4 linked regions of the Stegostoma tigrinum genome follow. The protein of the gene in region 1 interacts with the protein of each later gene in a biochemical or structural test. Links are inferred from orthologs where the notes say so. Each region holds a gene or a part of one and is shown in the gene's direction. Other genes may lie near its edges.

Evidence for each region.
Region 2: of the proteins of lrrk2 (region 1) and endophilin-A1, one has a biochemical effect on the other in vitro, tested with the Homo sapiens proteins (2 studies listed by BioGRID and IntAct). The link is inferred for Stegostoma tigrinum from reciprocal best matches to the Homo sapiens genes LRRK2 and SH3GL2.
Region 3: the proteins of lrrk2 (region 1) and echs1 interact on a protein array, tested with the Homo sapiens proteins (2 studies listed by BioGRID and IntAct, with this or other methods). The link is inferred for Stegostoma tigrinum from reciprocal best matches to the Homo sapiens genes LRRK2 and ECHS1.
Region 4: of the proteins of lrrk2 (region 1) and rho guanine nucleotide exchange factor 7-like, one has a biochemical effect on the other in vitro, tested with the Homo sapiens proteins (2 studies listed by BioGRID and IntAct). The link is inferred for Stegostoma tigrinum from reciprocal best matches to the Homo sapiens genes LRRK2 and ARHGEF7.

What each region holds. Positions count from the first base shown.
Region 1 is NC_081378.1:38,590,463-38,597,767, reverse strand, and holds the start of lrrk2 (leucine-rich repeat serine/threonine-protein kinase 2), read left to right. Parts: upstream 1-3,941; 5' UTR 3,942-4,321; coding exon 4,322-4,457; intron 4,458-4,559; coding exon 4,560-4,645; intron 4,646-7,305. UniProt on the Homo sapiens protein: Serine/threonine-protein kinase which phosphorylates a broad range of proteins involved in multiple processes such as neuronal plasticity, innate immunity, autophagy, and vesicle trafficking.
Region 2 is NC_081356.1:23,525,736-23,533,314, reverse strand, and holds the start of endophilin-A1, read left to right. Parts: upstream 1-4,481; 5' UTR 4,482-4,779; coding exon 4,780-4,824; intron 4,825-7,579. UniProt on the Homo sapiens protein: Implicated in synaptic vesicle endocytosis. May recruit other proteins to membranes with high curvature. Required for BDNF-dependent dendrite outgrowth.
Region 3 is NC_081390.1:11,735,149-11,743,174, forward strand, and holds the start of echs1 (enoyl-CoA hydratase, mitochondrial), read left to right. Parts: upstream 1-4,832; 5' UTR 4,833-4,889; coding exon 4,890-4,974; intron 4,975-8,026. UniProt on the Homo sapiens protein: Converts unsaturated trans-2-enoyl-CoA species ((2E)-enoyl-CoA) to the corresponding (3S)-3hydroxyacyl-CoA species through addition of a water molecule to the double bond.
Region 4 is NC_081359.1:13,986,130-13,993,974, reverse strand, and holds the start of rho guanine nucleotide exchange factor 7-like, read left to right. Parts: upstream 1-4,549; 5' UTR 4,550-4,945; coding exon 4,946-5,110; intron 5,111-7,845. UniProt on the Homo sapiens protein: Acts as a RAC1 guanine nucleotide exchange factor (GEF) and can induce membrane ruffling. Functions in cell migration, attachment and cell spreading. Promotes targeting of RAC1 to focal adhesions. May function as a positive regulator of apoptosis.

The sequences.
Region 1 (7,305 bases):
ATGCCGTAAATCTTAACTCTGACCAATCTAAAAGCATTTTTTCTTCCACATGTTTGTATGCACTGTTAGTTCTAATCCATTGGTGCTGACCTACATTTCAAATTATCTCTCACCGGTTGATCCCTAAGCACAGGTTTCCTATTTTCAACATCAGCATTGTTTCAAATGCACTCAATGACTTTGACTCTGGGCAAATCCTATTATCTTTCTCCAATTCAGAAATATCTCCCGCAGATATATTCACGCGGGGCAGTCCTTCTTTCCATGAAGTCCCAAATACTGCAGTGCAGACACATAAGTTGCTCTACCATAACTTAGTCTGCACTCCTAACAATGTTTAATTCGTGGTATACATGAACTCACACGAAACATTAAAGGACTGGACAAAATTTGGAGTTACTTAATGTTAAGATATTTAAGCCACAGAAATAGTACAGTCATTGCTTCCTTTCCTGGTTCTCAATTTTAATAACGCCCCCTAGTGACGTTTCATGCTCTTATTGAAGGTTTTTGTTTATACATGATTGGCACTTCAGATTGATCACAAGCATTTCCACTTTAGTATTGATTTATTTGGTTACTATTACACAACATTATACAAGTAAAGGAAGCAATAACACTTGTTCCAGAGGTGAACAATAATACCTCTAACATGTTGGTTAGAAACTATCTACAATTTACAGAAAACTATTACACACCATGTTACCCAGAAATCATGGACATGATTTACAGCTCTCCTTTGTTTATTATTCATTTGTGAATAAACTTGTTAAGTATTATGTCTTGCTTTAAAAAAATAACAATTTTTTTCTATAGAAAGTGAGTTTGGGGAATTGATAATGAAAAATAAAGAGATGGTAGATGAATTGAACAGGTATTTTATAATGAATGTTCACTGTAGAGGATGCAAGTAATATTCTGGAAGATTTATAAGTCAAGAAATGCAAGAGAGGGAGGAATTCAGTAAAATTATGATTACAATTAAGTTTTGGAGCTGCAAGCTGACAAGTTCCTGGATCCTAATAGATTTCATCGTATGGTTCTAAAAAAGTGGTTGGTGAGATAATTGATGCATTGGTTTCAATTCTCTAAAACTCTCTAGATTTAGGGAAGGTCCTATTAGATTAGAAGATAACTCATGTAATTGTTTATTTCATAACGGGAGGGAGTCAGAAAGCAGGAAATTACAGACAAGATGCCTCATTATCACGTGATTCCTTGCCCCAATGTGATATTCCCCTACTGGACAATGATGAGTTGCAGGCCTACAATGGGCATTAGAGACAGGATAGCACTGATTTAGAGAGGTTGTTCAGACAAGATGTATCTTGGGACAGATGAATTATATGGCATGATGGTTAAACAGCACCTAGGTTGAGAGAATGGGGTTGTATGTGTGAGGGTGTATCAGACATGCTGGCTATGTGCCTTGGCCAGCATGACTTTGTGCCTGCTATGCCATTATATACGTGCCAGTGAGGAGTACTTGCCAAATCTTGACTAGCTGCATTGCAGCCTTTCAAAAATAGCATGCTCACAAGGAATGCTGGTTCTTCCGCCATATGGATGACATTCTAATTCACTGATTCACTGCAACTGAATGTGATGGAAGAGTGAAAGCAATATTTAAATACATTTTCATTCATGATGAGTTGGTCCAAGAGAAGTGTGTGGTAGGATGGGGTTGAAATTGGACCTAAGGGATGCCATAGAACACAATAGGTAATTAAAAAGGTGAGTTTGTTCAGACACAATGAGGGTACTTCTTACATTTTGCAGCGAATAACCTTCCAAAATCTTGCACAGCCCTGACACAGCCAAAAACAAAATCAGCCCATGTTATTCAAATAGTGAGAGATTGCAGAGCTCTGATATGCAGAGGGATCTGTGTGTCCTACTGCATGACCTACAGAAGGTTAGTATGCAGGTACAGCAAGTAATTAAGAAATTTAATGGAATGTTATAATTTATTCCATTCACTTACACATGACATTGGTGGAACCATATCTGGAGTCCTGTATATAGAATTGGTTACTTTATTTATGGAACGCGGTAGAATGCGTTGGAAGCAGATCAAAAAAGGTTTACCTAATACTTGGAACAGGCAGACAGGTTGTCTTATGAGTAAAGGTTGGACAAGTTAAGCTTGCATCAACTGGAGCTTAGACCAGTAAGAAGCAACTTAATTGAAACATGTAAGATTCTGGGGGGTCTTGATAGAGTAGATGTGGAGAAGATGCTGCCTTAAACAGGAGAATCTAGGCCAAGGGAGTCACTATTTAAAAATAAAGGCTTGCCCCTTTAAAATAGAGATGAGGTAAAAAAAATTTCTCAACAGGGTTGTGAGTATTTGGACATTTTACCCCAAAAGGCAATGAATTTTTAAGACAGAGGTGGCTTAATTCTTGTAGGAAATGAGGTGAAAGTTTATCAGGCTTTGGCAGTAATATGAATGTGAGGTTATAAACAGATCAGTTATGACATCATTAATAAATTATAGAACAGGCTCAAAAGGGCATGCAGCCTGCTCCTATGCATAAGTTTATCACGCAGTTTGTGAGACACTGTTTTAATCATCTACCCTTAGCACTATATCAATTCCAGAGATTGATCCAGAAAATTATTGACACCATAGAAGTATTAAAAAGGGTTAACTGTCATAGGGATGACATTCTAATTCACCGATCCACTTCATCGGAACATGATGGAAGAGTGACAGTGATATTTAAATACATTTTGATTCATATTCTTCATGCAACAGGCATTAAGTCTGACCCACAGAAGGTTACAGCCATCAATGCTGTCCCACCACTTTGAAATACTGTGGAATTGCAGCAAATCATAGGAATGGTTAACCAGGAAGGGACTTTTCTTTTACCAAATCTGGCAAAAGGAAATGAACTACTATAATAATTGCTTAGACAGAATCAAGCATGGTTAAATATGAAAGCCAGAGGTTGGTGATGGCTTCTTATTGCGTTGTCACTTTCAGTGTTTCTAGCAATCCATCCACTCCCAAATACACATGCTCTTCCATGTTGAAACTTCCACCAGCTTTCAAGATTCTATTTTCACTTCTTCACATTGCTTACAATCAGATGGTGGGTTACTATGCATTGTATTTGAAGTTTTAGCAAAGATTCATGTATACATTATGTGCTAATTCAGGCTGGGCTGGTGGACCTGATGGAGGGATTGAATAGATTGGGACGACTGTTTTGCATTTTTTTCATATTTGAGGATTTTGATATTTCTGTAGGAGGCTTGTAGAATTCCTATACGATTTTAGCATGTGTATCTGACACCTAGCTCTGATTGGTTGAGTTTTATATTCCTTTCTCAATATAGTTATTTTATCAACGAATTTATAACTTTTTTTCTCTTCTTGGAGAATAAATGAATTATTAAAGAAAGTAGGAAATCATATTTGTATAATGCCTTTCATGACCTTAGGTTTTCATAATGTGCTTTCTGGTCAATAAAACACTTTTTACAAAAGTAGTCATGAGGATATATGACATGTATTGGTAATCTATCAGGAGCAATGTTAATAGAAGAATGAACGCTGACCATGCAATAGGGCAGAACGCCCCCTTATTTTGAAATAATTCCCGGGGATCTTTTGGATGTAACTGAGAGGTTCCATATATCAACGTTTCATTATGGCAAGATTACACGTCTGGAATTTTAGCCTCAATCTGGATTATATGCTCAAACCAAGATTTGTACATTTCAGAAGCTTTATCAAAAATGTTTTGTTTGAATAAGTGTAGTGGCAGCGGGAGCCTGACAGAATGACCACTGAGTTTTCAGCATGACGGTTCCTTCCTTTGTCAGGCATTAACAAAAATAACTTTGTATAACTAGTTGAGGGTCGACTCATGATAGCGGGCTGGATGGCAAATTGCCAAATGTGCTTTGGGGCTGCGGCCAAGGGAGTGTCTTCCCTGCAGTTTTTGTCGGTCTGGCCTAGAGGTCGGCTTTGGACTTCTCAAAAACACTAATACCGACTTAATCTTTAGAAACAAGTGAGGCTGAACTTTCGCTGAAAAAGAAGTCATAGAAGGGCACACTCAACGTTACTGACAGCAGCACCCGGGTGATGAAGCAAAGTTACTTTTGGAAACTCCCCGCGGACTGAAACTTCCGTAACTCATTTCTGATTTTTCACTTTGAACGGCCAGTATTGCAGTCATACTGTGACCACTGCTGACGAAGTAACCGACGGGTTAAAGACTGGTCGTTCTCACAAGCCAACCAGATATTTATTTTTCTACGATCAAACATGAAAAGCGGTCAAAATTAGAACAGTCGATTAACCATGGCGGACTCGGAACCACTGGAGGGAAACCTGAAAAAGTTAATCGTTCGTCTCCAAAATGTCGAGCAAGGAAAAGAAATCAGCACTTTGCTTCAGATTTTAGACGACTTGATTCTCCTCACTACTGTTCAAAATGGTAAGTAATCGTCTAAGAAATTATATGTTTCAAAAATCCGTTATCGGAAGACGGGATGGACACATTTTGACATAAAGTGCTGATTGTTTACATCTTAAACAGCTTCGATTTTATTCGGAAATAAAAATGTCCACATGCCGTTATTGGTGGCTCTCGAATCGTTCACCGAAATTGCCAGTATCCAACAGGTAGGCTGTTTATTTACGTCTGGTTCTATGACTGCAACGAGTCGTGCAGATTGATAGTTTTATTTTCGTCCTGACTTGTCACCAGCCAAGTTCAATATAGGAGTGTTAAAGGAATCCATACTATTTGTTTTTGCAGTCCAACTGAAGGAAAAGTTTTATGAAAACGGTTGGCATGTATTGATTTCCAGAACTTAAGCGACCTGAATCAGCTGGTCACTTGTGCATGCCGCTGGGACAAGAGTGACGCACGCCCCTTCCTCACTCCTCAACTTGTTTAAAAAGTTAATTGCCAAATACTTTCTCTGAACATCATGTGCCTCTCATTGGAACTTTCCCCTTACTAAAATATTCTGGACTCAACTACATTTTAAGTACATAAGTCACTGTTACTCCTCTACTGAGACAGGATCTGAGAATACTTAAATAGACTTGTCAGCTATATTGCAAATACCCTATATCGAACAACACTTGAACAGCACAACATTGGCCTTTTGCAGGCCTTTGTGAGAACTCTGCATATGTGACAACACAGATAGCAATGTTAAATTAGTTTAGCCGCTATAAAACTTTTCCCAGTTGGGTTGGTCCGCTGGCTGCTTGATGCGGTTCAGTTGACAGGAACGCAATAAAAATTCAAAAAACTATCACTGTTTATTATTTTTAAGAAAGAAGGTTAGTTGAGAACTCAATAATTTGAGGCTATCTCTAACTTTATCCTCGACTTCTACCCTTGCATGTGAAAGCACTGGTGGAGATTTAGTCAAGGACTTATTGTGGGACTGGAACCACATATGGTCCAAACCGCATATTGTTTCCTTTTCTAAAAGGACTTTGTGACCCAGCTGGGTTTTATATAAGAGATAATGGGAACTGCAGATGCTGGAGAATCCAAGATAACATGGTGTAGAGCTGGATGAACACAGCAGGCCAAGCAGCATCCTAGGAGCAGGAAAGCTGACATTTCAGGCCTAGACCCCCGAAACGTCAGCTTTCCTGCTCCTAAGATGCTGCTTGGCCTGCTGTGTACATCCAGCTCTACACCTTGTTATCTTGGGTTTTTATATAAATCTGCTAAAGTTACAATCATGCCTGTGTGCAAATACCAGAAGATATGAAGTTCAGATTGTTCCTTCCTAGTTTAGGACTTGAATATTGCGGAAAACAAAGTAAAAGCTGCAAAAGATTTTTGAGACACTCCCGAAGACAGCAAGACAAGAACACTCCATTTCAAAATGAATGACAATTTATAATGCACATGAAGAGTTGCTTTTGACTGGTAAATCAACTCTAATTGGTCAAGGTATCCAGAAAATCTTGTTCCCTGACACTTTTGAATTTTTAAAAAAGGAAATGCTTGGACATCTGTTTTCCTGCAAATGAATACGTATCTTTTATCAAGCATACCTGAGCCACATTTTAAGACTGACTCATGATCTTTAAATTGGTTGCTTGCATAATTCTTAGTGCACTCAAGATTGGACAGCATTTACTGAGCAATCACTGGACTACATCCAGCATTAAACATTATCTTCTGATTTCTGCAAGCGCAGGCTAGTTGAATATAGGTGGCGCTCTGTTGCAAACATTCCATGGGAGGTGCTGGAATTTCTGCTGGGAGTTCAACATTGCTGTACACAGTAAAATTGGTCCATTCAGGAATCTTGTATATGGACCCTAAACCATTTGTTCAAGCTTGAGGTCAAAGTAGGATGCATCAAACCAACCTGTGGAATAATAGCTATTCTGTCATTGCTCGCTGTGTAATGCACAAACTTAAGTGTAGGTCTAGTGCTATCACTTTGCGACCTGAAACATGACAGTCTAACTCAAAGTACCTGAAAAGGATAATGATTCTCAAATACTTGAGCACCATTTCACTCTCCTGCTTATGCACTTGAACTATGAATGGTGTTTTGACCACGATGCTGTAATCAAGCCAAAGACTCTGGTGAATCATGTAATATATACACTTTGGCACCCTGATGATGCCTGGTAAGAAAGTTGTACGTCCTGGCAACTACCAGATTTTGCCAAGCAGGATCTGAATGTAATATGCCATCTGAAAGGTAAAAAGGTAAAGGTAAAGTCTCCATTGTCTTTATCAGTCCATATGATTGCTCGTGATGAGAGAGAGATGACTGGTGATGGTTTAACCTGAGGGTCACCACGCCTCAGAAAAGTTGAGAAGGAGAAACCTTTACACACCTGAAAGGTAGCTGCTATTAAGCAAAAAACCTTAAATATCTTTCCACATTTACCATATATTAAATAAGCTTTCTCAACTCTTTTTGAATTTTAGAAATAAAAAGGCTATTAGTCTTTTACTAGAGTGGAGTGTTAGTGAAGGGAAGAAACCCTTTGCTTGTTTACTTCTGTAGCTGCAACAGATCTGTTGTACAAATTGTGCAACAGGAATCATGATGGTGGAGGTGGCAGTGAAAGAAGATTGACAAGAGAATACATTCTGGAATTCCAATCCTCAGTCTTCCTACCAAGTTGCTCACTATGACTAGCCTTGTTCTCTAGACCTGTCAGCTGTCCAAAGTCTATGATTTTAAATAGAAAATCAAAGTTTATGAAAGAACAAAATCTAAAGCAAATTATGACAATTTTTTAATGAAGTGAGTCAAGCTAATATCTGTCATTACCAAGGTTAAAAC
Region 2 (7,579 bases), on another chromosome or scaffold:
AGAAACAGAGTTAATGTTTCAAGACCATTATGACTTCTTCAGAACTGCATGGGGCTGAAATGGGAAATGGCGGCTTTTATGCTGTATAGGGAGCAAGAGCAAGTTGAACAGGTTGTGAAGGTGCTCAAAGCAGAAGACAAAGGCAATGTAAATAGTGGTAAATGAGAGACTGAGATGAAAAATGTGTACAACTGAAGGCTTGAAAATGTGAAAGTGGGTCTACTGTGCTGAGTGCAAAGCCAACAAGACACGTCCAGGAATGATGGTTTTTGGGGCATGTAAGAAAAATGGAGGATAGAGGTCATATTCTGAAGATATGGAAATTTGCCCGAGCAGAAAAAGCTTACACTGGGGCAGTCCCAGGATGGAAAAAATGAACAGGGACTCAAGGTGGTTTATTGAATTGCCAAAAAAACTAGAAGGTCGGGGCCATTCTAGAGACAGAGCTGATTTATTTTGCAAGACTGGTCCTGTCTCAGCCAGTCTGTGTTTGCCCTGGCAAATATAAAGGAGACAGCATGCCAGCAGTGAATACAGTAGACGAAATTGAAAGAAGTACAAGTAAAATGCTGTTTCACCTGGAACATGGGTTTGGCACCTTGGACAATAAGGAAAGAGGATGGAAATGGGTAAATGGTACACCTTCTGTGTTTGCATGAGAAGATGCCACAGCAGGGTCTTAAGTGCAGGCTGGAGGGGGCAGCTGTTGTTTTGGAAGGGTGAGCATAGAGGAGTGGACCAGGGTGTCACATAGGGGATGGCATTGGGGGATGCTGATAGTAAAGAGAAGGGGGAGATAAGTTTGGTGCTGGTCTCTGGCTGGTAGAAATGGTGGAGAAGATCCTTTGAATGCAGAGACTGGTGGAGTGGAAAGTGAGGACAGTAATATCCAACACCATTTTCCCACCAATAACTTGCTAACTGATGCTCCATTTGGTTTAATCAGGACATTTTGGGGCCATACCTCATTATAGTTTTGATCCAAGATAGAAAATAAATTTGAATTCCAGGGCTTTGGGACTACTGTCCTCAATATCAGAGGAACACTTGAGAATGTGTGGCATTGAGGAATGCTCACAAAATTGAAGTAAATAGGAATCGTGGGCAAACTCACCATTCATATTTTGCCTTGTACAAAGGAAGATCGCTGTGGTTGTTGCAAACTAAACTTCTCAACCCCGGGATATCTCAGCAGGAATTCCTCTGGGCAGCGTCCTCAGCTCCACAATCTTCAGCTGCTCCATCATCGACCTTGTCATAATCATAAGCTTAGAACTGTGTGATGTTTGGTGACAAGCTCTCAGATACTGAAGTAGTCTTTGTCCATATGCAATAAGACTAGGAAAACATCTTAGCCTGGCAAGTGGCAAATAACTTTGATGCCACTCAAGTACTAGGCCGTAAAACCTTCCAAATATATCTATCTCTAACACACTGCCTGACCACTTTCCCTCTTTATTCAATGACATCACTATTATTGAATCCTCATTATTAGTGGTAGTGTATTACCATTGACCAGAAGCACAACATAGCACAAGTCAGAGGTCAGGAATTCTGGGTCAAGCAACTTACCCTCCCACCTCCAAAGCCTTTCGAATATTTTCACAGGGCCTTAATTTGATTGTTATGGAATACTCACCACATGCCTGGATGGATAAAATTCCAAAAACATTCAAGAGGCAGATGGGCCTATTTTAGTTCAGAACCATGGTCGGCATGAACTGATTAGACTGAAAGGTCTGTTTCCATGCTGTATGACTCTATGACATCTTGGAGAAAGCAACCTGTTTGGGTTGCTTCAACTCCCCTAAATATATACTCCATCCATGATTGACATAGCATGTTCCAAATACAAATTGCATTTCAACAACTCACCAAATGGCACTTCCCATGCCGTCAACTTCTACAACCTGTAATGACAAGGACAAGCGACACATGTAATTATCACCTGCAAATTCCCTTCAAGTTGTACACTTTGGCAGCAGCTATACTGAACACAGTGCAGAGATTCCCCCACCTTAGACTGACTTCAATTTTGCTATGGCTACTTAATGCAGCACTGAAACCAAATGTTCCCTTAATATAAAAGTAATCAGCCTCACTTCATCTCTGGAACTCAGCTCTTTTGTTCATGTCTGGTCCAAGGCTGTAATGAGATCTGGAACCAAGTGAACTGGTGGGAGCCAAACTGAGTTTCCATTAACAGGTTATTGGAAACGACAGTCATGGCTTTTCTTCCCACTCCTGCACAATTCCTTCTGGTGTTTTCCAAGCATCTATCCTTGCTGTCTACTTTTTTTATCCCCATGCTGCCCGTCAGCAACATCATCAGAAAACACTGCATCAGTTTTCACATGTGTGCTGAAGGCACACAATCCAACCTCATTAACACCTTTCTCAATTTTGCTAATGGTTCAGAGTAAACCAACAGTTCAGGATTTGGTTGTGTTAGATTTACTGCTTTTCTGTGGACAAAACATTCTGGGCAACTTTCCATAATGCCAAATAGATGCCAGTGTTCTAGATGTTCAGCACTGGAATGGCATGACTAAGGACAAAGCTATTTCTACCACAGATAACAAGGTGTGGAGCTGGATGAACACAGCAGGCCAAGCAGCATCTTAGAAGCAGGCAAGCTGACGTTTCGGGCCTAGACCCTTCATCAGAACCCGAAACGTCAGCTTTCCTGCTCCTCAGATGCTGCTTGACCTGTTGTGTTCCTCCAGCTCCACACCTTGTTATCTCGGATTCTCTAGCATCGGCAGTTCCTATTGTCTCTATTTCTACCACATAAGTCTTTGGTACTACTGCTGAAATTTTGTCACTGCAATTTTACCTTTCCTGTATTCAATGCCCTTTTTTTAATGAAAGCACAAAATAGGAACATCAGGAAAAGTTCAAGATGGATCTTCCACTTACTCTTGTGGCTGAAGATGGTTGTGAACAATTCAACATTGCTTTTTCACACTCACATAGCTTTAAATTGAGGGGTGAAAGATATAGGACAGATGTCAGAGGTAGTTTCTTTACTCAGAGAGTAGTAAGGGAATGGAACGCTCTACCTGCAACGGTAGTAGATTTGCCAACTTTAGGTACATTTAAGTCATCAAAGGATGAGCATATGGACGTACATGGAATAGTGTAGGTTAGATGGGCTTGAGATCAGTATGACAGGTCGGCACAACATCGAGGGCCGAAGGGCCTGTACTGTGCTGTAATGTTCTATGTTCTACATGCTTGACTGTCTCATACTGATGATGGGGATATTGTAGAGTTTTTTTTGTCATTTGATTGGTCAATGCCATTCATGACTATAATAAAACGGAAATGCTGCTTATGTTGTAAATGGAAATTAAAGAAAACGAGTTGTTGGGAAAAATGAACAAGGCTGGCAACATCTGTGAAGAAGAAAACAAAATTAACATTTTGAACCATTGATTCTTCTTTGGAAATAATCAGGTATGTTCATACCTGTATGTGACAGAACTACAGGGCTTTGAACTGGTTCCTTATAAATAGGGTGCTTGACACTATTTCTTGAATGTTGCCTCCTCTGTTTCACATTCATGTAGTTCTGTATTGCAGCTTGGATGAGTTGACATCTCCCTTTCAGATATGATTGGTGCTGCATCAGGCAAAATCTTTTCATTGACTAAATTTGGTCCCCCAATTTGATGGTAATGGTGAAGTGTGATATGCCAGGCCATGAAGATACAATTATGGTTGGATGCAATTTTGCTGTTGACAATGGTTCACAGTGCCATGTTGTGTGCTGTAGATCTGCTCTGCATCTATTCCATTCAGCATGGTGGTGGAGATACACAACTGAGTGGAGATATATCCTCAATGTGAAGATGGGACATTGTCACTACAATGACTGTGTGGTGGTCACTCTGACCAATAGCATCATAGACAGAACTTCCCATGACATAAATAACAAGTACATCTTTGATGTATAACAAAAATGTTTGTCTTGTGTTACTCAGGGTTCTGCTGATTTTCTATAAAGTGGGATGGACAGGTGAAGGTGTGGACAGGTATTTGTTTTCCTCTTGTTGGCTCCCTAACCACCTAGTCTAAATCCAATCTGGTTTATATCTACTTAAGGACTGAGTCAGTTTGGCTAATGTTGTTGTTAGAATTCTTGCACCCAAAGTACGTTTGTGGCCCTACTACCTTCAGCATGTCTTTCATCTGACATTCAACGTTGTGGGGAGAGGGGATTGCATGGGTGCTGACTGTAATCAACAGGAAGTCTTCTTGTCTGTATCTCATGGAGATCGAAATGTATTTCGACAACTCGCAGGCCCACACTTTCTTGACCCCATACCATGGTGCCATCACTCCTGCTGGCGCCTAGAGCACTGGATGGTACGGTTCCGTGAGTTTCGCTATAATAGTTAGTTGCTCGGCTAGTCTGTGGGACAGCTCTTCAATGTTTCGACCTATATGCCCGCATACATGTCTGTCTGACTGCAACGAAATCTATCTCTGCATAATACAGACACCAAGCATTGTGCACCGCTGGAAGAAACGACTGTATAGAAATAGATTGTCTCTATTTTTAGCTGTCAGTGCGGATTTAATTCATCCTCATCGCTGGCGAAACGTGGCTGTGTCTTTAAGAGAAGCTGACGTCAGGTTGGGTCCGGATATCCTGGTTTTGCCGATAGTAATTTAATCCTGGAGTGAGATGAGAAGGAGCCGCGAAGGAGGCGAGAATAACCCTGTTTGCAAATAAGCGGCCGAACAGGACCGCTTCCTTTTTCTGCAGGAACCATGTCTGTGGCGGGACTGAAGAAACAATTCCACAAGGCTACTCAGGTAGGGAGATAGCTGCTGCAGCTCCGACACTCTCTGCCCCACTGCACCAAAGCGGTTTGAGCTTCAGTCCAAGCTTCGTCCCTGTCGTGCCTCTGTATTCTTAACCACCTTCCCGTTTTACAAGAAGTAATGATAGAATCCCCGTCTCGCTTCATGTCCCAAACCCTCCGGGGCTACACAACGCCGATTAATGAAGCAATGTCATTGTGTAGGTCGGGTCAGGCAGGATTCCTGTGGCGAAATCTGGGAACTTTGATGTTTCAGTGAGTGTGGGGCTCGCTGTGGGTTGATTTGCCAATGAGGTCTCGACAGAGGCGTTTCATTTTAGGGGAGAAGGGGTGGTGGTGGGAGAGAAGGGTTTTGAGCCTCCGTTTTCCCCGGGATGTTTGCGGGATCGCTGCGGAAATCATTTATTATTTAGTCCCCGGAGTGAGCCGCGTCGCAGCTTCTTTCTGGGTCTGTTGGAAGAGTGGCTTTCCAATGCCCTCAGTCGGCTCCAGGTCGCTATTGCGGAAATCCAGTCCTTGCTGCTGTCCCCCACCCCCCACGAGCAGTCTCCTGATCTTGGAATCAAGGAGGAGAAATGTCCTCTGAACAAGACCAATTTGCTGCTGCTGGTTAGATCGGCTCGCACCTCATTATAATGTTGATTTTTATATGATCTCAACACGTAAAACACCGCGGAAATAATTAATTTGATCCTGCCGCTGTCAATTGTGTATTGAGCATCCCAGCCATCAACAATTCTGTTTTGAGTTTCACCGCGCCTGCAATATTCTCTCTCTCTCTGTGTGTCTTTATTTTGAAATAACAGCCTCTTTCATCAAACGTCACGATCTTCGCCTCAGCTACTTTGGGAGAAATGTTCATTCCTCTGTCAGCTGGGCTGACCATTTTAAAGATTTTTCCCCTGTTCCCGGCTCTCCTGCATACTTACAGCTAATCCTCAGCTTGGAAGTTGAGGCGCCTGTTTACTGTCACTGACTCTGACTCTCTGGGTTTGAGACTTGGGGGACACTGGCACCGAAGCACATGGCAGATGCCTGCTGGCGGGTAGTTTGAAGAAAGGTGGGGGGGGGGGAGTGGGGAGCGAATCGGGGGAGATTGAGGAAAGATGCTGCAAGCATTTCAGTAGGTCACGAGTATATTAAGGATGGGACCGGTCCTGGGCACAACTGAATTACACATCCTGAAAGATGCATCGCTGCTGCTTCTCGATTTGAATTATTTCTTCCCATTGTCCTGCTATTCTCACCACCCCCCCCCCCCCCCCGCCCCCGCTCCTTCCCTCCCTCTTCGCAGCCATCAAAATTTCCATTTACTCTGTCGGACTTCAGCTTGCAATTTAACGTTAATATTTGCAATTATCCTGACAATCTTGGCACCACTTCTAAAGCATTTCCGTTCCAGGCTGGAATTCAAGTTCTGGTCCAGCATTTTGACTTCACTCCGGGCCTGATTCCAGGCACTGAACGTACGGCTTTTCTGTGCACTGGATGTAAATGGGTGACCAGAATTGGAATGCTGTGTTCGATATGCAGCATAACTAGAGCACTCTGCAGCTGCATTGAGACTCTGGGACGACTTACTGTCATATACAGCTAGTTTTGTAGAGTGCCCTGTTTCTGTTGAACGTGTCGTTGAGATGAGGGCGTTTTTTTAAACTCCAGAGATAACAATGTGGAGCTGGAGAAACACAGCATGTCAGGCAGCATCCGAGGAGCAGGAAAGTTGACATTTTGGGTTGGGACTTTTCTTCAGAAACGGATAGGGGGAAGGGAGCTCCGAAATAAATATAGAGAGGAGGGGTGGGGCTGGGGAAGGTAGGTGGAATGGGTGATAGGTGAGTGCAGGTAGGCAGTGGTGGGGCTTGGTCAGTGAGGTGGGCGGGGCAAGTAGGTGGGAGTGAAGATGGACAAGTTGTCAAGTCAAGGAGTTTGTATTAGGTCTGAAGAAGGGTCACCGGATCCCAAACATTAACTTTTTTTTTCCTTCACAGATGCTCCCAGACCTGCTGAGCTTTTCCAGCAACTTTGATTTTGTGTCAGGTCAAGGGGGCTGGGATGAGAGGGAGGGTTGGTCATGGGATGAGGCTGGGAGTGGGGAGATTTTGAAACTGGTAAAGCCCACATTTAGACCATTGGCCTGTAGGCTCCCAATCCGTTTCACACTATCTGTTGCCCCAGCACCATTCAGGGTGATCAGTCCTTGTTTGCACAATTTTCAATTGCCTGTATTAAATCTCATCTCCCATCTGGTCCAAATTTTCTCTGATTTCTGACTTGTCTTTTACAATTCCACCTCTCCTCCTAGCATGTGCTCATATGTGACATTGACTGCTATTTCCATGTTTCCAAAACCAGTGTCATTAATGTCAACGAGAAACAATACTGAATCCCCAGAGTCCCCACTGAGCACTCACTTCTATTCATATTCCATTTTGATTACTACCCTTGTGCTTTCTCCCCGAGTCTCTGCGGGTTTCCTCTGGGTGCTGTGGTTTCCTCCCACCATCCAAAGATGGACAGGTTAGGTGGCTTGGCCATGCTAAATTGCCCATAGTGCCCAGGGATGTGTAGGTTTACGGGCATAGGGTAGGGTGTGGGTCTTTGAAGGGTCACTGTGGACTGAATGGCTGCTTCCACACTGTAGGGATTCTAAGTTAGAATTCCCTCATGGTTCAGTGTCTCATACGTACCAGGTAATGTTTAGCAGAGCCAGCTGCAAACCTCTTCTTACTATGGGAGCTTTCAAA
Region 3 (8,026 bases), on another chromosome or scaffold:
AATCGGACTGAAATCCAACAAGCCCCTTACAGTGGCTCTTTATAATGGTGTGTGAACACATAAACCCTCTGTAAGACACCGAACTTTCTCCCATTTCTGTTCCATGCAATGCTAACATGTCTCATTGTCCACACGGTTGATCCTGCTTTTCCAAGGAGTGGGTTCAAATTTAAATTACCAACCTGTTATTTAGTCCAGCAAGGAATGCTGAATCCAAATTCATCTTTTCATGCACCATTGATGATCGCAGTTTGGATCCGAATCTAACATACACTATTCATTGTGTAATTGCTTGAGGATTTGTTTTACTAGAGTTCATTGTTTTTGAATAAATCGAGCGTGGCATATTCTTTTTTCCTTTTGTAAATCGTTTTTTTTGTTTTCAGAACTGCCATTATCCCCTGTCTTTGTTTGACAAACCCTATTTACCCACTCCTAAATGAAAAGCTCGGTAGTGTACTCACCTCTGGCAAGGTCTAGAGTCAGTGTGACCGCCGAGCTGGATTGCAGTCAATGGCGCGGGACGAACACTTAATTCGCTCGCCTCTCTCTGTGTACCTCCTTCCTCCTCGGCACACCGCCAAATCCTAATCGGATTATGATTCAAACCAGGGACAGTCCTGAAGTGAAACCGGTCCCTGCAATGTCACCGGATTTGCCGGCAAGAATTTAGAGCAGACTATGAATGCAATGAACTGACTGGGTACCACCAAAACAGGAATGAAAGACAGAGACAAAGAAAGCAAATCCCAAGTAGGAGGGGCTTTGTAACGACGACGTGCTACATATCCCCCGGGTTACAGTTACGAGAAAGAAACGCATCTCCGCCTTGATAATGAAATCTCTTCACATTTTATTCGCCATTACTGGAAGAATTGTCTGAAATACATGTGCAGATCTATTTTATTTTACATTGTTTGGGTTATTTTAGCCCGGTGTTTACTCTTCTGTATATTTGGATTCATCTTGTTCTATTTCCAAACCCAGGGCCTCTTTATTAAATATCAGTTTCCTGTGTAGACATTGTTTTTTTTAAACAAGGCTTCCATGGGATATGGGGATGGCTGGCAAGGGCTTTGTCGCCCATCCCTAAGTGCCCTTGTAGGATGAGCTCGTACAATTATTTCAGAAGGTAATGCTGAGGCAACCACATTGCTGTGGGTCTGGAGCCTGACCAGGTCAGCATTTCCTTCCCTAAGGAACATGAGTGAACCAGAGAGTTTTTACAGCAAGCAGCAAAGATCACTACTTCAATTCTGGATTTTTGTTCACCGGGTTTGAATCCTTTTCCCCAGAACATTAGCCAGATTATCTGGATTACTAGGCTGGTGGCTGTTATTATTACATCACCAACTTCTCTAGTTTCTAAGGTCTAAGGTCTGACAAAGTCTTTGAATGGTTTCAGGCATTCTGTAGGACTCTCACCCTTGATTCAATTCTGATGATTGGAACAATCTGAAGACAGTTACTGCTCCAGGTGAAGCATGAAGCATCTTGCCCTCAGCCTATGAGGACCAGACCTGGCCAGGCCAACAATGAGACATTTGCTGTAGTCAGTCACACAGCAGCATGATATATTGTACAGGAGACAGAGTGTAAGGATTGCAGCTGTATGTTGTGAAAGGGCTTTCGGGGAGGTTACTACATTTGGTTTTCCTGTCAACCAACATCCAAAACGAAAGAGAAAGATAATGCAACCTTAGACTATTTACCCTCATGCAATGTCTGATGGCTACATTTGCCTTTCTGGAAGAATGTTCATGCTTATTTATGCTCATTAGACCTTCTATGTAATGGTGAAGCAAGGTGTTATAGAATGATAAAGGGTCTTTTAGGTCCTAAAGGGTCATAAAGCATAGATTTTTCTGGGCTTGGACTCAAATTTGGAGGGGCCACTGTAAAGAAAAATCGGTGGCTATCACGTCATGGCAACTCCAATAGTTTTACGAAGTTGTTTTTGCTTTTAAATAAAGCTCCTGCAATTTTTGACATCTCTGTGAGGTTCAGACAATTCCAGTTGGGATTTGGCCTTAATTTTTCCCAGCAGATAGTCAAGCATCTCTTGAACTTATACAAGGTACTGTAAGCTAGGAAGGTTACCATTTGAAATGTAAAATAAGTCATATTGGTTATGTAGCCAGGCAGAATTATGTACATGTTGATAAAGCAGACCAGGCAGCATCAGATGAGCAGGAGAGCTGATGTTTAGGGTCAGGACCCTTCTTCAGCTGAAACGTCAGCTTTCCTGCTCCTCTGATGCTGCCTGGCCTGCTCCATACTGTATTATCTCTGACTCCAGCATCAGCAGTTTTTGCTATCTCAAAAGCAGAGTGGCACTGTTTTTGGCGTATTTTGAAGAGACCTGACACAAGGAAGTGATTAGTTCTTCCGCATTTCTGTTAATATCCTAGAAGCAAAACAAAGAACTGCAGATGCTGTCAATCTGAAATAAAACCAGAAATTTTTGGAGACATTAGCAGGTCTGGCAGCATCTATGAAAAGCAAGCACACTTAACATTTTCAGTGCAGTGACACTTCCAGTTCATAGATGCATAGAAAATAGGAGCAGGACTAGGCCCTTTGGCCCTTCAAGCTTGCACAAACATTTAATATAATCATGGCTGATCTTGCAATCTCAGTATCCCATTCCTGCTTTCTCTCCACACCCCTTGATCTCTTCAACTGCAAGGGCCATGCCCAGCTCACTCTTGAATATATCTAATGAACTGACCCCAACAACTTGCTGTGGGAGAGAATTCCACAGGTTCACAGGTCTCTGAGTAAAGAAATTCTTCCTCATCTCAGTCCTGAATGGCACACCCCTTATTAGACAGTGACCCTTAGCTGTGGGTTTCCCCATCATCAGGAACATCCGCATCTAGCATGTCCAGCCCCATCAGGATTTTATGTTTCTGTGAAATCATCCCCCCATTCTTCGAAATTCCCGTGAGTAGTACAAGCCTAGTTGATCCAATCTTTCTTAATTTCTTAGCCCTGCCATCCTGGGAATCAGTCTGATGAGTTACTGAGTTATTTTAAATGTATTTTTGTTATTCACCCTTGTATTCTGGAAGGAGATTCTTCCAATTCAGTTAAGATGCACAACACCAGATCTTGTCGAAAAAGGGGAGGCAAACAGGCATTCTTAATAAAGGGTGAAAACAAGGAGCTGGCACAGTCAAAAGAAAGCCATTACATCCCAAAGCATAAACCCCTCTAACTCGCTGACAGGGCTCTCAGGCAAACAGTCTCAAAGGAGATGCTGTCCCCTAATTCCATTTGTGTTTAAAAGCAACATCTAATCCAAAAGCACAGACTGCAGAAACCCCTTCCCCTCACCCTGTCCCTGTGTACATAATGGGCATCATTATGCTGTTTGAGCTGTTGATCTGAAAATGACTCTAATATTGGGAAAGAGAAACACCAGCTGTGCGTTCATGGTACTTGGATACATTTAAAATCAACAATATCAAAAGAAAAATTCGATGAGGTCTTGGCCGGGGGCAGGGTGGTGAGGGTTGGAGTGGAAATAACCTGCAGTGGATGAAGAGATAACAAGGTGTAGAGCTGGATGAACACAGCCGGTTCCTGCTCCTCTGATGCTGCTTGACCTGCTGTGTTCATCCAGCTCTACACCTTGTTATCTCAGATTCTCCAGCATCCACAGTTCCTACTATCCCTGCAGTGGATGAAGAGTGGGCTGAGAGTGTAATGAGACCGGCTGATTGTTTGATAGAATGTTGGTATGGACATGATGGACTGAATGGCCTCTTCTTTGCTGTTGTGAGTCTAAGATCAGTGTTCGCATTAGATTGTTCCTGGTCAATTCAAATGCATATCAGTTCCCAACCTTGCTTTCAACTCAGAAATATCAGTACGATACCACAGGAGAAAGACTGAAGCAGCATCTTTTTCACACGGTTAGGAAAATATCCTGACGGGGAAGGCGAACAACACGGCTCAGATTAAAATATCAAATGTGAAGGAAATAGCCTCACTCTAGTGAAATGAGTTTAGAAGGATGAGAGGGGATCTGATTGAGGCGTGTAAGATTATTAAGGGATTGAACACTCTGGAGGTAGGAAGCATGTTTCCACTGATGAGGGAGTCCAGGACCAGAGAACACAGTTTAAAAATAAGGGGTAAGCCATTTAGAACAGAGTTGAGGAAAAACTTCTTTACCCAGAGAGTGGTGGATATATGGAATGCTCTGCCCGGAAGGCAGTGGAGGCCAAGTCTCTGGATACTTTCAAGAAAGAGATAGATAGAGCTGTCAAAGATAGTGGAATCAAGAGTTATGGGGATAAGGCAGGAACAGGATACTAATTGTGGATGATCAGCCATGATCATAATGAATGGTGGTGCTGGCTCGAAGTGCCGTATGGCCTACTCCAGCACCTATTGTCTATTGTCTTTTGAAATAACAAGCCCAAAAGTGGAAACATGCGGGGAGCTATCAATTAAACGCAGATATTTTCTGAACAACCTCGTTCTGAGGTTTTGTCACATCTCTTTAGAGAGTTAGAACACAGGTCTTCCGGCTAGAGACAGTGCAACTACCACACTCCTTGTACAAATCAGTTACAGCAGAGTTGGCAAGTGATTGCATTTCGGTGAGATTTCCTAATCAAGGACCAAATGTACCATTCATCATGGTTTTATGCATGGATGCATTGTCTTTTTGTTGTTAAAATTTAAGATGACTGTGCGTGTAAACGACGTTGACTGAGGAGTTACAGCGGCGACAAAAATGAATGGATTAATCTGCAATCAATTGGTGGTGCGCAGCCCAGATCGGGTGATTGACAGCTCCCGGGGAAGGGTGGCGCTTAGGCTATCGCGATATTCACAGATCTGGGACAGAGGCATAGGTGGATCCCACGCAGAGAATGGCAACAATGTCTTTTCTGTGTAGGGCGGCTGCGTTTTCTCTCCGTGCCTCCAGGTCCAATGCAGTCAGGGCGTACAGCGCAGGTAGGCTCTGGTGCTAAAGGCGGCAGGAAACCTGCTTTAAGTCTGTGCAAACCCGAGGTCGGGGCCTTTTCCAGTGCGTGGGGTGGGACGCTGAATGCAAACTGCGAGTGACCTTTGAAAACATGAGGACAGTGCATGTCGATGAAAATGTTCGGCCAACCCTCACTGCGGCCGAATGCATTGTTTTAAGGAGAAGCAGCCCTGCAAGATTGCATAGCACCCGTTCACAGAGAGCTTCCTTCTTTGCTGATGTCTTTGTTCTTGACGTCTTTATGAACCATGCTGAAAAGCAACTGAAAATAAACGTGGATAATAAAATGTGAAGCTGGATGAACACAGCAGGCCAAGCACCATCTCAGGAGCACAAAAGCTGACGTTTCGGGCCTAGATCCTTCATCAGAGAGGGGGATGGGGAGAGGGAACTGGAATAAATAGGGAGAGAGGGGGAGGCGGACCGAAGATGGAGAGTAAAGAAGATAGGTGGAGAGGAGAGTATAGTTGGGGAGATAGGGAGGGGATAGGTCAGTCCAGGGAAGACGGACAGGTCAAGGAGGTGGGATGAGGTTAGTAGGAAGTGGAGGTGTGGCTTGGGGTGGGAGGAAGGGATGGGTGAGAGGAAGAACCGGTTAGGGAGGCAGAGACAGGCTGGACTGGTTTTGGGATGTAGTGGGTGGAGGGGAAGAGCTGGGCTGGTTTTGGGATGCGGTGGGGGAAGGGGAGATTTTGAAGCTGGTGAAGTCCACATTGATACCATTGGGCTTCAGGGTTCCCAAGCGGAATATGAGTTGCTGTTCCTGCAACCTTCGGGTGGCATCAATGTGGCACTGCAAGAGGCCCATGATGGACATGTCATCTGAAGAATGGGAGGGGGAGTGGAAATGGCTTGCGACTGGGAGGTGCAGTTGTTTATTGTGAACCGAGCGGAGGTGTTCTGCAAAGCGGTCCCCAAGCCTCCGCTTGGTTTCCCCAATGTGGAGGAAACCACAGCGGGTACAGTGGATGCAGTATACCACATTGGCAGATGTGCAGGTGAACCTCTGCTTAATGTGGAATGTCATCTTGGGGCCTGGGATGGGGTGAGGGAGGAGGTGTGGGGGCAAGTGTAGCATTTCCTGCGGTTGCAGGGGAAGGTGCCGGGTGTGGTGGGGTTGGAGGGCAGTGTGGAGCGAACAAGGGAGTCACGGAGAGAGTGGTCTCTCCGGAAAGCAGACAAGGGAGGGGATGGAAAAATGTCTTGGGTGGTGGGGTCGGATTGTAGATGGCGGAAGTGTCGGAGGATGATGCATTGTATCTGGAGGTTGGTGGGGTGGTGTGTGAGAACGAGGGGATCCTCTTTGGGCGGTTGTGGCGGGGGCGGGGTGTGAGGGATGTGTTGCGGGAGATGGGGTCAAGGGCGTTCTCGACCACTGTGGGGGGAAAGTTGCGGTCCTTGAAGAACTTGGAAATCTGGGATGTGCGCGAGTGGAATGCCTCATCGTGGGAGCAGATGTGGCGGAGGCGGAGGAATTGGGAATAGGGGATGGAATTTTTGCAGGAGGGTGGGTGGGAGGAGGTGTATTCTAGGCAGCTGTGGGAGTCGGTGGGCTTGAAATGGACATCAATTACAAGCTGGTTGCCTGAGATGGAGACTGAGAGATCCAGGAAGGTGAGGGATGTGCTGGAGATGGCCCAGGTGAACTGAAGGTTGGGGTGGAAGGTATTGGTGAAGTGGATGAACTGTTCGAGCTCCTCTGGGGAGCAAGAGGCGGCGCCGATACAGTTATCAATGTAACGGAGGAAGAGGTGGGGTTTGGGGCCTGTGTGGGTGCGGAAGAGGGATTGTTCCATGTAACCTACAAAGAGGCAGGCATAGCTGGGGCCCATATGGGTGCCCATGGCCACCCCCTTAGTCTATAGGAAGTGGGAGGAATTGAAAGAGAAGATGTTGAGGGTGAGGACGAGTTCGGCTAGGTGGATGAGGGTGACGGTGGAGGGGGACTGGTCGGGCCTGTGGGACAGGAAGAAGCGGAGGGCCTTGACGCCATCTGCATGCGGAATACAGGTGTATAGGGACTGGACGTCCATGGTGAAAATGAGGTGTTGGGGGTCACGGAATTGGAAGTCCTGAAGGAGGTGGAAGGCGTGGGTGGTGTCACGGACGTAGGTAGGGAGTTCCTGGACCAAAGGGGAGAAAATGGAGTCCGGACAGGTGGAGATGAGTTCGGTGGGGCAGGAGCAGGCTGAGACGATGGGTCGACCAGGGCAGGCAGGTTTGTGGATTTTGGGAAGGAGATAGAAACGGGCTGTGCAGGGTTGGGGAACAATGAGGTTGGAGGCTGTGGGTGGGAGGTCCCCTGAGGTGATGAGGTCATGAATGGTGTTGGAGATGATGGTTTGGTGCTCGGGTGTGGGGTAAACGTGCATAAATTGTTTCAAGCCATCTCTTCACAAACCACCTCTCCCCTGTGGTCCAAAAATTGTCATTTTTAATCTTGCTCGTCTCTATTAAGAATCGATCTCTGGGGTAGGCTTTAACTCATTCAAACCCAGCCACTGTGAATGAGAGGGCTAGAACCATTCTTGGCAATCATCCCACTCCCACTCCCACTCCTTTGACGACATGTCCATCCTGGGCCTCCTGCAGTGCCATAAATGATGCCACCCGAAGGTTGCAGGAACAGCAACTCATGTTCCGCTTGGGAACCCTGGAACCCAATGGTATCAATGTGGATTTCATAAGCTTCAAAATCTCCCCTCCCCCTACCGCATCCCAAAACCAGCCCAGCTTGTCCCCGCCTCCCTAACCTGTTCTTCCTCTCACCTATCCCCTACTCCCCCCTCAGGCCGCACCTCCATTTCCTACCTACTAACCTCATCCCGCCTCCTTGACCTGTCCGTCCTCCCCAACTATACTCTCCTCTCCATCTATCTTCTCCTTTACCCATTTTCGGTCCGCCTCCCCCTCTCTCCCTATTTATTTCAAAACTCTTCCCATCCCCCTGTCTGATGATGGGCCTAGGCTCAAATCGTCAGCTTTTGTGCTCCTGAGATGCTGCGTGGCCTGCTGTGTTCA
Region 4 (7,845 bases), on another chromosome or scaffold:
CACATGTTCCAGTATAGTTGAAAGAGGACAGCAACAATGTTTTCAAGTCACACTTACTCAGCAATAACCTGCTCATTGATGTTCAGTTTGAATTTTGCCAGAACTCTGAGCTCTTGACCTCATTACAGCCTTGGTCCAAAAATAGGCAAAAGAACTGAACTCAAGAGGTGCATTGAGAGTCATTGGCCTTGACATCAAGGTATCATTTAACTGAGTATGGTGTCAAGGAGTGATAACAAAACTGGAGTTAAACTAGCAGGAAACAAAGTGTGTGCAAAATGAGTCTTTTTCAGATTGGGATGATAGGACACATAAAATATGAGGTCATCCTTTTAGGATAGTGATAGGTTTTGAGCAGCTTTGATCTTTCTGTCTCAGAAAACAATGGAGGTAGAATTATTAAATATTTTTAAGGCAAAGACTATTGTTAGGCAGCTGAGTCTTAGGTCATTGGGGATGGATGGGAATTTGGAATTCAGAACAGAAACAGATTCGCCATGATCTTATTGAATGTCGATGAATGGCCTACTCTTGCTGTTAATTTGTAGGTCTTTAATAGGAATCAGGACAACACAGATTGCAGAGGTACATGCATAATGGAAGGTGGTTGTCAGCATTGGAGGCAGCAATCAAACTATATTGGGGTGTTGATCTGACCCAGAAATCCCAAAATGCTTAGGAAAGCCACACATGGGGTTGGCCAATCTGAGAAAGGACACACCTGTAAACAGAATGGAAGGAAATAGTTGGGAACTGTTCCTTCAATCACAGGCTGCTCTCTCCCAAGCTTACTGCTGCTAAGTTCACAGTGAGTCCATCAACAGCAAATGTGGGAGGGTATCAGCCTGCATTTGGAGGAATGAGGTCAGTGGCAGAGCTAGTGGACAGAATAGAAACTATGCTGGCCAGGCGGGGAGTGATGTCAGTGAGCAAAGCCAGCAAGACTGTGAGAGAGGCCTCTCAGTAGTGGGTGTGATACCAGGACCTGTGCAGCCAAGCCAAAAGCCTGGAGGAAATGAGGCTGTAAAGTTTTGAGAGAGGTGGGTGTGTGTGTGTATGTGTGATGGGGGAAAGACCCTCCAAAGGTTGGAAAAAGTACAAAATGGGAGAGAAATGCTGCAAAGGGAAGAAACACTTTTAAACATTTCAAGAAAGATATACTGTCCTAAATGGGAACATGAGAATAAAACAATTTACTGTTTGGGGAATTCCTTATGTCTGACCTGCTCATGTAAACACTATTTTCTGAACAATGGTAATCCTCAGGATTGTTGATTTTGGAAGATTCAATGTTGGTAATACCATTGAACGTTAAGGATGAATGGTCAGATTCTGTCTTGTTAGAGAAAGCTATAGCCTGGGGCTTGTATGATGGAAATGTTACTTGACATTTATCAAATCATAAATTTCCTGCAATATTGTGGAAACTTTAAGGCTGCTGCATTGGGTGGGGTGGGGGGGAAAGTGAAATAAATATTGTGTCAATTGTTTAATACTGTACTGTTTAATTTCATAAAGACTGACATTTATGTGTTATCATACCTCAAAGTGTTTCACTTACTGGGAAATACTTGAGGCCATGTTGGAGACAAACATATAATGGTTTTCTTGTGACCTCACCATAGAATCCGAGAGTGCAGGAGGAGGTCATTTGGCACATCAAGTCCACATCAACCTCATAAAGAGCATCCCACCCAGCCCCAGCCCATCGCTGTATTTACCATGACCAATCCACATAATCTGCATATCCAGGGAGGAAACCCATGCAAATTCAACATAGTCACCCAAGGCTGGCATTGAACCCATAATCCTAGTGCTGTGAGGCAGCATTGCCAACCACTGAGCCACCATGCCACCATCTGCAGAAAGCATGTTTCGTTTGATGGCTTTTTTTTCTGGATAGAAGTGGGTCAGTTTTATATTTTAAAAATACTTGTTGCCAATTTATGTCTAGGGCCAATTTAAATACCAAGATGTCCAAGAAAGTAATATTTTCCTTAAGAGTCTTAAAATTTTAAATTTAATGGGGGATAAATTTAATCGGGGATAATCATGAAAATTTGAGTTCTGCCTGTGTGCGAATCTAAATCCTCAGCATATCAACATGAAGATAGAAGATACTGTTACCAATTATTATTGTTGTTACTACTCACTGCATCACCTAATGAAGGTGTACATGACACTGTGAAAGGGACACTTGAAAATTTTAAAAAAGCCCCATTAAAATTAAATCAAAAGGCATCAGCTGCTTCCCTCCATCAAAAGGTCAGAGGTGGGGATGTTTGCCGATGATTGCACAATGTTCAGCAACATTCACAATTTGTTGAAGCAGCCCACGTAAGTATGTGGAAAGACATGTCCAACACTTCAGGCTTGGGTTGATAAACATTTACACTACACAAGTCCCAAACTATGGCTGTCTCTAACAAGAAAGTATCTGACCATTAATCCTCGATGTTCAATGGTATTACCATTGCTGAGTCCTGCAAAATCAACACCCTCAGAGTTACTACTGACCTGAAGCTTAACTGTACAAGCCATACAAATAGTGCCAACATGAGGAGGTCATAGACTAAGAATTCCCTGGTGAGTAACTCACCTCCTGACTTCCAAGAGCCTGCTTACATGGGACAAGTCTAATGGACTGCTCTCCACTTGACTGGATAAGTGCAACTCCAAAAACAATCAAGAAGTTTGACAAGGCAGCTGCCTGCTTGGCATCCCATCATTCCTTTCACCACAAATGCACCATACCAGCAGTATGTACCATCTACAAGATGCACTAAGTCTCCTTTCACATCAGCTTCTAAACCTGCAAAACATGGAATAACGGTAGTGGATGCATGAGAGCAAGATTGCCTGGAAATTCACTCCAAGGCACACACCAACTTGACTTGGAACTAAATCACTGTTTCTTCAGTGCCATTGAGTCAAAGTCCTGGAACTCAATGGCTGACAACACAGTAGGTGTACCCACCACCATGGGCTTCAGCAGCTCAAGAAGGTAGCTCAGCATCAACTTCTCGAGTTGGTGCAAGAAATGTTGTCCTAGCAAGAAATGTTCACATCCCATGAGATTTTTTTTAGAAAATAAAATTCCTTTAACGATAACATGTGCAATACAATTGTTCTCTAGCCTACTCCAACCAGACATTGGGAAGGCGAAAGTCATCTCACACAGTTCCTGATTCTCACTCTACATAGTCATCTAGAACTTTATTCCTTTGTGGCAAGTTTGCATTCATTCCTTGTTCATAACTGGCCAAGGAGGAACTCCATGGCATTCAGCCAGTTGAGTATTTACAACAATCTAGAGGTTTGGTGCCAAGCTAAAAGTATCAGGTTTATTGAGTTTTTCTTTCTACCCTTTACATTGTTAACTTTAAACTCACCACCACACAATGTTTCCTAATTAGATCAGGAAAAGAACTAGCACTGGTCTCTGGTCTAACTCATAAACATTTCTGGGGGGTTGGGGGAGAGAAGAGAAAGAGGACTGGGGTTTTGGACGGGAGAATTGTTTCGGGGTTTGGAGGGTTAAGGGTGAGGATGACCAGGAGGAGTTTGAGAGCGGTGAGGACAGAGATGATGAGGATTTCTATTTTGGGGAGATGACTAACAAGGAAAATGTCTTAGTGGGTAGGAAAGAGAGAGTGGAGAGGCGTCCACAAAGCATTGGATTATGTGGTCGAGCCCATTGAGTCTGGTCTCCAGGGAATTCTTAGCCTATAGCCTGTTCATGTTGACATTTGTATGGTTTGTACAGTTAAGCTTCAGGTCAACAGTAACTCAGGATGTTGAATGGCTAATCTGACAGTCTTGAATATCACTTTCCTGGCTTTCCCCATAATCCTTGTTATATTGACTAACTAAAAATCTGTTTATCTCAGCTTTGCATATAGTGAACAGCCCAGCATTGACAGCCTCGATGGTAAAGGGAAATATGTAGACAATGGGTGGTACGGAGGGTCTGAGAAGGTAAAGGAAGTATGCGGGGGGGGGGGGGATGGTTGGGTTGAACGTCCATACAGAGGGGACAGTGTGAGATGAGATGTGGGTGGGGGAGTTAGATGTTGCGAGTGTGGGAGATGTGGAGGGGGTGTGAGATGCCGGGGTTTTGGGGGTATGGAGTGAGATACTGGAAGTTATTTCGAGTGAGGTAGTTGATGTTAACTACCGTTAACTACCCCGGGGTAAGTTTCCAGGGGTAGATGTCTGGGTGGGTTAATTGTTGGGGTGAGGAAGGGACTAGTTATCTGGTCGGGGATGGATGTTGGATTGGGTTGGGGGTAACTGTCAGGGTGGGGACGGTAGTTGTCGATTTGGGGAGGCAAGTTATTGGGGTAGGAAGTAATTGTCGGGTGGCGGGGTGGGGGTAATTGTTTGGTGTTGGGTTGGAGAGAAATTGTCGAGGGTTGGGGTAATTGTTGGGTGTCGGGGTGGAGGGTAATTGTCGGGTTGGGGGTATTTGTCGAGTGGGGGGGGGTAATTGACGGGTTGGGGGGGTATTTGTCGAGTTGGGGGGGGTGTAATTGTCGGGTGTCGGGGTCTCCGGGCCCTCCTCTATTGCTGGGTCTCGGGCGGCACTAGAGGGCGGCAGGACCCGGCTTCGGGCTCAGTCTGAGCGGCGGCAGTGGGCGGCAGGTTCGGAGCCGCGATCGTCCCGGAGAAACAAAGAGAGCCGCCCCGGGGGCAAGGAGGGAGGTTACGGGATCAGAGAGATCCCAGGCGATAGCCGTCCCTTCCGAGACACACCGGCTCTATCAGTACCGAGTGATGCCGGGCTCGCCGCTTCGGAGCTGGGACCTCGGGAAGCAGTGAACCGCGGGGACTGGGAAAAGGCGGCGGCGGGGATTGTCCCGGGGCCCGGGAAGGAAAAGGGGACTGTTGTCCCGGGGCCCAAGGCTCGGATCCCTGCACTCCCGGTGAATGGGGATCGGTAGCGATGAGCTCCGCTGAGCAGACGGTCACTTGGCTGATTACACTCGGGGTCCTGGATTCCCCCAAGAAAACAGTGTCGGACCCCGAGGCTTTCCTACAGAGCTCCCTGAGGGACGGGGTGGTCTTGTGTCGCCTCCTGGAGCGCCTGGTGCCTGGATCTATCGACAGGGTGAGTAAACCTGGCGGTGCTGACCTCCCTCCCCCGCCCAAAAACAATCCCGACGTCTACCTGTGTCATCGGTGTATACCTCTACCCCAATGCCACCCAGATCCCAACAGGTCTTGTCCCTTTCTGTCCGCACCGCCCCAGGGGATCTGGGGATCTATTTTACTCCCTCATCTGTGGGGATCTGGCCTCTCCCACTCCACTCCCCATTCCCACTCAAGAGTGGGATCTTCCAGCATCATTCGCTGTCCTTTTCCAGCTCTGGGCTGTCTTGCTCCCCAACTCTCCTTACCCCATTCAGGATGTCTAGATCCCACATTCTCATAGATGGGGTGCCAGAGGCTCTGTGGTGTTAACATGCTGAAGGAGATCTGACTGCCCTCCCACACTCCTTAACACCATCCCCTTAACCCAAGTACAGCCGATACGAGGTGCCTGTACCCCACATGTCCAGACATAGCTCACTATTGCTAAACTTGAGGTTCTGTACTCCTAATCCTGTCCATATCCGTCACCCTGAGAACTGCACTTGAGCCACCTGAAGATCAGGAACTGTATGCCATATCAGCAAACTCCCACCCCAAAACGCACGCACAAACATCTGGCAACAAAGTGAATCCCCTATTACCCTTCACCCACAGACTCTATAAAGCTCCCAAACACCAAAAGGGACACTACTTTCTTAGGGCTCTCTTCTCTCCTGGGGCTTATAACATTGTACTGATTATCTCTTGGTTCTCTAGCTGCTCTTCGTGAACACTGTCCCTTACGTACAGGGTAGAGGATGGAGAGGGAGATGTCTAAAGTATTGTATCTTCTGGTCCTGGAGTTTACAACTTTGGCTTGTGTTCCATTGAATATGAAAGATTAAGTTTGTAGTGTTTTATGATTATAATTATGAGAGTGAGGTAATATAGATATACTTAAGGTGATCAAAGAACTGCAAATATACTAATCTAAATTATATAAGCCTTTCACACCCTCAGCATGCCTCAATATGAGCAGAATGAGATAAACTGTTTCCTCTGGGGAAGTTCAGAACAAGGGGGCGTAACCCTAAGATTAGAGCTAAATTGTTCAGGCATGATGTCTGGAAGCATTTCACACAAAAGCTGGAACTTTTTCTCCAAAAAGATGTCATGCTTGGAGGTCAGTTGTAAATTTCAAGACTGACGTAGATTATATTTTCAGGAGTAAAATGCTGCAGGTGCCGAACATCTGAAATAGAAACAGAAACCAATTCAAGTACACAGTGGTCTGGCAGCATATGCTGTGATGAAAGATCATTAATTTAAAATATAACCTTTCTTTTTCTTTCTGTCAATTTGATTTTTGTTGGGTAAGAATATTGAGAAAAATGGGTTAAAGGTGGGTAGATGGAATGAGATCCAGATTAGTCATAATTGAATTAAGATGCTGATGGTCCTCCCATTCCTGTTTAAACTAATCCATAGTGTTTGGATCTATGTTCTGCCAGGTAACACTACATGACCACTAAGTCCCACAGTCTCAAAGTATTTTTAATTAATAGATTTTGCTTGTCTGTCAAACAAAATGTTTTGAGATTTCTGACATCTTGAGTTGGTTCTGTATCTAATGACAGAGCTTGGATTTCATTTAATTTATGAGCTGTATAGGATGGACTGAGCATCAGTGCCTACTAGGATTCAAATCATTTGGGTGAATGAGAAGGAACTGGGAGGAAAATGTTTGCTTCTCACTGCTCAAGTAAAATCAAATGATTTTAATCATTCTGTTCACAACTTTCACGTTCACACCAGGACATTGCGGCCAGTGATACATGTTTCAAATGTGGCCACAGTTGTAATGCTACTTGAATCTGATCCACCATTCAAAAAAATCATGGGTGATCTGAGTGACAACCTTGACTATCAAAAATTAATCAGTCTTGATTAAGTTTGATGACCCAACGTCCACTGTTTTCTAAGGAAGGGCACATTACAAACTATCGATTGTCTGATAAAAAACTTTTTTCTTCCTATCCATCTTAAAACGCAGGCTTCCTGTTTTTAAGCTGTGTCTCCTGAAGGGAGTCTGTTCGGCAATTAGAAACATCCTCCTTTATCCACCTTATCAAGACCCCTCAGGACCTTTATAGCTTCAAATAGATCACCACTCATCTTTTCAAGTTTCAGGGGTAGGGCCAATGTGTTTGACTTTTCTCCATAAGTTAAACTTTCATCCCAGGAATTAGTCAGTTGAACCTTTTCTGAATTGCTTCGGATCTAATGATCTAGCAATAATTTTCTCAAATGAGGAGTTTAAACTGTACAGAATGCTTTAGATCTGACCAAGGCCCCATACAGCTTGCGGTATAGCTTCCCTACTTCTATATTCCCTTGCAATAAAGAACAACATTTCGTTTGCCTTCTTCAAAATTTGCTGTATTTGAATACTGGCATTTTGTGACTTGTGTACCAGGACACCCAGATGCCTCTGTACTGCGCAGTTCTGCAAATTACCAATTTAATTGCATACCACTTCTCTCTTTTTCATGACAAAGTTGGCAAATTCACATTTTCCCACTTTATGCTCCATCTGCCAGGTTTTTGCCCACTCACTTAACCTGTCTATTTCCTTTTCACACTCTAAACTTTCTCTTGACAACTAACACTCTCCCCTATCTTGGTGTCATCAGCAAATTCAGAAGCTGTGCATTTGTCCCCCTGTCCAAGTCATTCACTTAGATTGTAAATAGCACTGATCCTTTTGTACTC